2 linked regions of the Callithrix jacchus genome follow. The protein of the gene in region 2 binds, or shares a complex with, the protein of the main gene of each other region. Links are inferred from orthologs where the notes say so. Each region holds a gene or a part of one and is shown on either strand. Other genes may lie near its edges.

Region 1 (4,116 bases), on a different chromosome or scaffold from region 2:
GAATTTCATAATAGTAACTACGGACAGCATTGTTTGAGGGTTTACTCATGCTAGTTTTAAGCACTTTACATGAGTTAACTCACTAATCCTCACTGCAACCCTACAAACTACATGCTGTTATCCCCATTTTACAGTTGGGAAAATGAAGGCACAGAGAGTTTAAGAACTGTGGGTCACACAACTAATAAGTGGTGAAACAGAGGCAAGCAGTCCAATTCCAATTCCATAGCCAGTCCAATAGCCAATTTTCTTAACCACCATACAATACCAAATTTTAACCCAGATATTTCTAACTGCAAGACTCATGCAATTTCCACTACTCTTGTATTGTGACTTGGAAAGAGTAACAGGCTCTACCACCATAAATGGATCCAATTATATTCAGGGATGTCTTACCTCTGCGACAGAGCTAAGGGAACCTCTGGAGAACTCCACCTTGTTAAGTTCCTGCATCCCCAGCCCATCCCAGAATCACCTGTCTGGGGACAGAGGCTCAGATCTTTGGGACTGGTCAACACACAGCCTTCATTCTGGTGCGTTCAGACACAAGAGGCAGCCACTGGGGTCGAAGCCTGGAGAGACCCAGTGAGTGTTTTGGGATGGCACGGACTGGAGGCCCCTTTGTTGAGTGCCCCAATCTTCGCATTAGGCCCACTCCAATGTTGGAGGCTGAGGGTCCAGAATATTAAAATCTTTTTTTTTTTTTCACTCTGTTGCCCAGGCTGGAGTGCAATGGCACGATCTCAGCTCATTGCAAACTCCGTCTCCCGGATTCAAGAAATTCTCTTTGCCTCAGCCTCCCAAGTAGCTGGGACTACAGGCGCGTGCCACCACGCCTGGCTAATTTTTGTATTTTTAGTAGAGACAGGGTTTCGCCATGTTGGCCAAGCTGGTCTCGAACTCCTGACCTCAAGTGATCTTCCCGCCTCGGCCTCCCAAAGGGCTGAAATTACGGGCGTGAGCTACAGCGCCTGGCCGACCATATTAAAATCTAGCTTTCAAAAACTGAACTGCAGGCGCCACTGTACCAAACGCTTCCCTCTGCTCCCCAACCCCAGCCTACAGAAACCTGCTCCCCTCCTCCTACACCGCAGTCATCCACCGGCTTTGGCCCAGCGGGGAACATCCCTTGACTGAACCGCCACTGAACACCCACACTCCACAATCGAGGCGCAACCCTCCCGGGAGGAAGCCCCAACGACCTCCACGCGCAAGGCCTCTATATAACACTGTCCCCGGCAAGGGACGGTGGCTCAGTTCCCATGGTAACCCGCAGCTCCTGCGTCGCGCTTCCGGGCTGAACAGCAGCGCGCTTCAGTGACGTCACGGAGCCACCTTCTGGCCGGTGGCACAGTCGAGCGAAGTAGTAGGGGCCGGGGGCGCCATGGGAGCCACTGGCGACGCCGAGCAGCCGCGGGGACCCAGCGGGACCGAGCGAGGCGGCTTGGAGCTGGGGGATGCGGGCGGAGCGGGGCAGCTGGTTCTCACGGTGAGGGCGCCCCGGGGGAGGCCTGGGCTCGGGCAGGGCAGGGCCTCGGGTTTCCTGGGACCCTGGCCCGCGGGCGAGAGAATGCGGCGGCTGGAGCTGCAGAGGGGTTGGCGTTTTCGCAGCCCGACGACCTGGATTCAAATTCTGGTGCCGCCCGCCTAGCTAGGTGATGTGGGCCGATTCTGTCAACCCCTTGAGCCTTAGGATCCTCTTCTATAAAATGGAGATGGTTAGTACCTGTCTCATAAAGTTGTGGGATGGGAAAATAAAGGCGGATACAGCGCCCAGTACATCACCTGGCACAGAGTTGACCCACGGTATACACTGCTTCCCTTCTTCCTGCCGTGCCAGAAAGGCGGGGTAGGGACTTTTAAGGCAGGAAACTTCCTTTGTTCCTCTTTTCTGGCGCGCAAAGCGGAGGCCTTCCAACTGTTATCCTCCCCCGCTACCCCAAGGTGGGAGAGATGGTGTCGAATCTGAGAAACAGGGATGTCTAGATTTAACTTCATACCCACCCTCCACTTCCACCCCATCCCAATGTCACCAACCGCAGTGATATTTATTCACTTGGTCCCCCACAGAACCCTTGGAACATAATGATAAAGCACCGGCAGGTGCAGCGGAGAGGCCGCCGCTCACAGATGACGACAAGGTAAGGCTGGCCCTGCATGGGACTTATATCCCAGCCACTGGCTTACATGGCAGCTTTGGGATCCCCAGTGCACAAGGCTATGGAGATCTACAGCCGGTAAAAAAAACACAGGACTGGGAAAGAGGAGACTCCGATTCTGTAACTCTGTGTGATTTTGAGCTAGTCAATTCACTTCCTTCTCTGAACTCATGTACAAAATGGGAAAGGGTGCAAGACATGGGTTGTAGAGTAAACAATACCTAAGATCCCTCATATTCACCGGCTCTGTGGTTGAGGACTCTAAAGAGATCAGATAGCATGGAGTTTAAGAGCACAGGCTCTGGAGTCAGACAACTGTGTTCTTGTGCAGACTCTGATGAGCCCCTATTTTCTCAACTGTAAGAGTGATTAATAGTATCTTCCTCAGAAAAGGGAGAGAGCACAAGATGGACCTTTGGGATGCTGGTAGTGGTGAAATGGATGTTCACTGTAATTACTCATTAAAGTGTATAGACTTTTCTGTATTATATTTCATAAAAACACTTTGATGGCCGGGCTCAGTGGCTCACGCCTGTAATCCTAGCACTTTAGGAGGCAGAGGCGGATGAATCACCGTAGGTCAGGAGTTCAAGACCAGCTTGATCAACATGGTGAAAAACCCCCTCTCTACTAAAAATACAAAAATTAGCCAGGCGTGGTGGCACACGCCTGTAATCCCAGCTGCTCAGGAGGCTGAGGCAGGAGAATTGCTTGAACCCAGGAGGCAAACGTTGCAGTGAGCCAAAAACCACTGCACTCCAGCCTGGGTGACAGGGTGAAACTCCATCTCAAAAAAAAAAAAAGAAAACACTTTGAAAATAATACCCACGGCTGAGCACAGTAGCTCACACCTGTTATCCCAGCACTTTGGGAGGCCAAAGTGGGTGGATCAGGAGATCAGGAGTTCGAGACCAGCCTCCTGACCAACATGGTGAAACTCCATCTCTTTAAAAAAAAAAAAAAGAAAGAAAGAAAATACCCACTTCATAGAGTTATTATGAGAATGAAATAAAGTCATGCCTCTGTGATTTGCACAAAATCAGAGCATGTAGCTAGTTTTCAATAAAAGCTGTCTAGTATTGTCAAAGGATTCTATGTCCAAAATTGACTGGGCAGGCTGGGAAAGAATATGTTTGGGACATGCTCCCTCACCCTGTCTCCCTCCTGAATGCAGTTTCACAGATCCTGCCATCTCCATGGATCTGCTTCGTGCTGTCTTGCAGCCTAGCATCAATGAGGAGATCCAGACTGTCTTCAACAAGTACATGAAGGTGAGGGACACAGGATAAAAGAATAACAAGGGAGGCCGGGCACACTGGCTCATGCCTGTAATCCTAGCGCCTTGGGAGGCTAAGGCAGGCAGATCACATGAGGTTAGGAGCTCAGCTTGACCAACATGGAGAAACCCTGTCTCTACTAAAATATGAAATTAGCTGGGTGTGGTGGCATATGGCTGTAATCCCAGCTACTCGGGAGGCTGCGGCAGGAGAATTGCTTGAACCTGGGAGGTGGAAATTGCAGTGAGCTGAGATTGTGCCATTGCACTCCAGCCTGGGCAACAAGAACAAAATTCCGTCTCAAAAGAAAAAAAAAGAAGTATTTATTGAGCCACTACCATACTACCAGGCACTATTCCAAGCACTGGGGATGTAGCAATAAACAAACAGTTACTCTCTGTAAACAGTGACAAGGTAAGGATGACCCTACATGGGACTTATATCCCAGCCACTGGCATGCATAGCAGCTTTGGGATCCCCAGTGCACAAGGTAACAGTAGAAAGAATAGAGGACTGGTAAAGAGGAGACTCTGAGCTTCAAGTGATCATCCCACCTCAGCCTCCCAAGTATCTGGGATTATAAGTGTGCACACCACACCTGGTTAATTTTTTTGTATTTTTAGTAGAGACAGGGTTTCACCATGTTGGCCAGGCTGGTCTCAAACTCCTGACCTAAAGTG
Region 2 (3,500 bases):
ACTGGTGTGATCTCGGCTCACTGCAATCTCCGCTGCCTGGGTTCAAGCGATTCCCCTGCCTCAGCCTCCTGAGTAGCTGGGACTACAGGCGCAAATCACCATGCCTGGCTAATTTTTTTTTCTCTTACTTTTTCCTACATTCCAAAATTTTTTAATATTTTAGTAGAGACGGGATTTCACCATGTTGGCCAGGATGGTCTTGAACTCCTGACCTCAGGTGATCCGCCAACCTCAGCCTCCCAAAGAGCTGGGATTATAGGCGTGAGCCACTGTGCCTGGACAAAAGCCAGTTTTATGTTGGAGTTGATTTTCTAGTGCTGGGGCTTCTGGGGGCAGGGATATGGCTTTAGTAGTAGAAGCAGTAATAATAATAGCTAATATTTATTGAGTGCCAGCCTCTGTGCATTATTTCATCCAATTCTCAACCCTAGAAGACAGTAGTGATAGCCTCTTTTGGTGAGTGTGAAAACTGAGGCACTCAAATATTTAGGGCAAGGCCTGAGTTTTGTAGGTGGCAGGCTGCAGAGCCAGGACTCAGATGCCTGTGTTCCCTGCCTGAGCTCTGTGTATCTCCACTGTAACTCTTGCACATATAGGGCAGCCACTAGAGTTGGGGATGCTTTGCTGAAAGGAGGGTGCTATTTATCAACTTTCTCTTTGTCCCATAGACAGTGCTGAAGTCACCCCGCCTGTCCTCTCTGTGATGGGGGAGGCCACCCCAGTGAGCATCGAGCCGTAAGTGCAGCCCTGCCCCTGGCCCAGGGTGTGCAGGTGGCCACACTGGTGCAGTGTGTGCAGGTGGGCCCTGGGAGTGACAGGAGGGTTCTGTTGGGCCTGCAGAGGGGTTGGGAGGGCCTCCCTGGGCTTTCGTATTTGGCCCTGGGATTTGCTATCCCCCGCCCTGCCTCTGTGTGGAAGTTACAGGGAAGTGCAAGGACTGGCTCAGCTTGAACTTATCTCTAGGAGAGTTGGAAGTGGGGTCTTTCCCATCTGTAAACCTGGAGCTGCTTCTCCCCTCTCCAATCTCTGGATCTTGCCTTTCTGGTAGTGGCTGCCCTCCCAGTCCCCTAGAAGTCATACCCACTGCACCTAGCTGAGGCCTTGCTCTGCGGGCTCCCCCCATCTTCTTCCCACCCTGAGGGATAATCAAGTCCATTGTCCCCGCAAGGTGAGGCTTCACCTCCTCCTGCCCTTTTTACTCCTCTAGACGGATCAATGTGGGCTCCCGGTTCCAGGCAGAAATCCCCTTGATGAGGGACCGTGCCCTGGCAGCTGCAGACCCCCACAAGGCCGACTTGGTGTGGCAGCCATGGGAGGACCTAGAGAGCAGCCGGGAGAAGCAGAGGCAAGGTGAGAAGGGGCCTGGAGGCAACAAGTGAGGGCAGGCTGGTCCGCACTAGGGTGGGCCAGGTCTCATCCCACCCAGCCCTGCACTGAAAGTGGTTTCCTCCCTTCCTCACACTCCTACGGATCCAGTTGAAGACCTGCTGACAGCTGCCTGCTCCAGCATTTTCCCTGGTGCTGGCACCAACCAGGAGCTGGCCCTGCACTGTCTGCACGAGTCCAGGGGAGACATCTTGGTGAGAAGGCACCCTCAGCAGAGGGAGGGCCCCTCGAGGGGTTGGCTTGGATCCATGTCTCTACTCAGCTAGGCCTACTGGCATGCATATTTGAGGCCAGTTGACCAAGGAAGGGGCCATAGGGGCTTGGCCCAAGGGAGCCCTAGTTTCAGACCCCAGGTTTTGCTTTGCAGTGTCCCCCTGTCCATGCCCATCCCTGATTCTGGGTCACTGGACTCAGACTGGATGGTTGCTGAGGGTCTTCTCTAGCAGTGCTGCTTCCCTTGGAGCCAAGGCTCTCTTAAGAGGCCCTGAGGCCCGGTTTCTGGGCAGCCCCACCCCTATGACCTCACCACCCCACTGGACCCAACCTCTTATCTGTCAGTAGTTAAGGTGGGCCAAGGGTAAGTGCCCACCCTACTCAGGAATTTAACAGAGCCTAAGATATATCCACCACTGATATCCCTGCCAGGGCCCTGAACCTTCCCTCCCTTCCCCTCCAGGAAACGCTGAATAAGCTGCTACTGAAGAAGCCCCTGCGGCCCCACAACCATCCACTGGCAACTTATCACTACACAGGTGGGCCTGGCAGCAGAGGGCATGGTGCCCGGAGTGTCGAGGTCTCCAGCATCATTAGGGCCCTGCTCAGTGCTGAGTCGAAGCCCTGGGTGTGGGCAGGGAGGAGGAGGGTAGATAAACCAAGAGTCAGAATGAGAGAACAGCCACCAAAGCTGGGGCAGCTCTCCAGGGGCTTCCTGTACCCTGGAGGGGGAAGGGAGAAGGGAGTAGGCAGGTGGAAGCCCATCCAGGCAAAAAGGCCCAGGTCACAGGGACAGGAACCCAGGGAGAGCCATCCAAACTGGCATCAGGTACCTGGAACTTAGCCCTGGGAGTGCATGTCCTGTTCTGGGCAATGTACTTTAAGAAGGACATGGACTGAGTCACATAATCCTAGCAGCGGCTGTTCTCGGTCCATGTTAGTGCTACATTTCATCTGCACCAGGCAGAGCACCAAGGGTTTCACATGCATTATCTCATTTAATCCTCACCACAGCTGGTGAACCAGGCAATTTTAGTTTCCATTTCACAAGCAAGGGAGCGAGGCTCTGAGTGACATGGCTAGTGTGTGGTGGAAGCGGGACGAGGAGCCAGCTCTGATGCCTGCAGAGACCATGGGCAAATGGTCTCACACTTACCTGCTGGTCAGAATTGCCCCGCAGTGGCCAAGGCTCTTCCCAACTCACTCCCTGGCTGCCTCTTTGCCCCACAGGCTCTGACCAGTGGAAGATGGCCGAGAGGAAGCTGTTCAACAAAGGCATTGCCATCTACAAGAAGGATTTCTTCCTGGTGCAGAAGCTGGTGAGCTGGGCTCTGTTTCAGGGTCAAGTGAGGGCCTGGAGCTGCCTGTGTGACTTCGGGGCTCTCTCTGCCTGTGACCAAGCCCTCTTAAAAAGCACTCAGGTCTGCAACTTCATCAGAGAACACAAACCAGAAGGGGAAAAAAAGAGAAAAAAGCAGTCAGGTCAATGCTACTGCATAGCCTCAGAGAGAATTTTCTAGACAATACAAGAAAAAGAAAGATTAGGCTTCTTTTCCCTATTGGTTCTAAGCATCCTTTCCCCACCTCAGGCTCTGGGGTCTCAATCCAGAAAGAGGCCTAAGGGCATCAGACTTAAAATAAGCAGGAGGAAGACGGGGTGAAGGGTGGCAAGTAGAGGTGAGCCATTCCCCAGGGGAAGGTGGGAGGGGAGGGCGCCCTGGGGTGAGGGGAACTGAGAGCCAGCAAGTAACCTGCGTAGCTTTACCTGCTTCCTTTGACCCAGAGTTGCCTTCCAGTAACTCAGCTGTTGAAGCCTACTGTCCATAGATTTATCTTGTCCTCTCCCAATGTTCTTCTGGAGGAGCAGACGCTTTGCTAATCCAAGCAATTGTATCTTTCCA

The links.
Region 1: the proteins of MIDEAS (region 2) and DNTTIP1 are in contact, whole or in part, in a cryo-EM structure (PDB 6Z2J), measured with the Homo sapiens proteins. The link is inferred for Callithrix jacchus from reciprocal best matches to the Homo sapiens genes MIDEAS and DNTTIP1. Residues at the interface, in NP_001036783.1 of Homo sapiens: Gln768, Asp771, Leu772, Thr774, Ala775, Ser778, Ser779, Ile802, Leu803, Leu806; in NP_443183.1 of Homo sapiens: Pro63, Ser66, Leu69, Leu70, Ala72, Val73, Leu74, Pro76, Ser77.

Annotation. Positions count from the first base shown.
Region 1 is NC_133506.1:41,032,029-41,036,144, forward strand, and holds the start of DNTTIP1 (deoxynucleotidyltransferase terminal-interacting protein 1), read left to right. Parts: upstream 1-1,316; 5' UTR 1,317-1,384; coding exon 1,385-1,489; intron 1,490-2,070; coding exon 2,071-2,141; intron 2,142-3,333; coding exon 3,334-3,430; intron 3,431-4,116. Other genes in the region: WFDC3 (WAP four-disulfide core domain protein 3), read right to left, coding at 397-464. UniProt on the Homo sapiens protein: Increases DNTT terminal deoxynucleotidyltransferase activity (in vitro). Also acts as a transcriptional regulator, binding to the consensus sequence 5'-GNTGCATG-3' following an AT-tract.
Region 2 is NC_133509.1:108,642,422-108,645,921, reverse strand, and holds part of MIDEAS (mitotic deacetylase-associated SANT domain protein), read left to right. Parts: intron 1-668; coding exon 669-735; intron 736-1,207; coding exon 1,208-1,350; intron 1,351-1,476; coding exon 1,477-1,580; intron 1,581-2,062; coding exon 2,063-2,138; intron 2,139-2,829; coding exon 2,830-2,918; intron 2,919-3,500.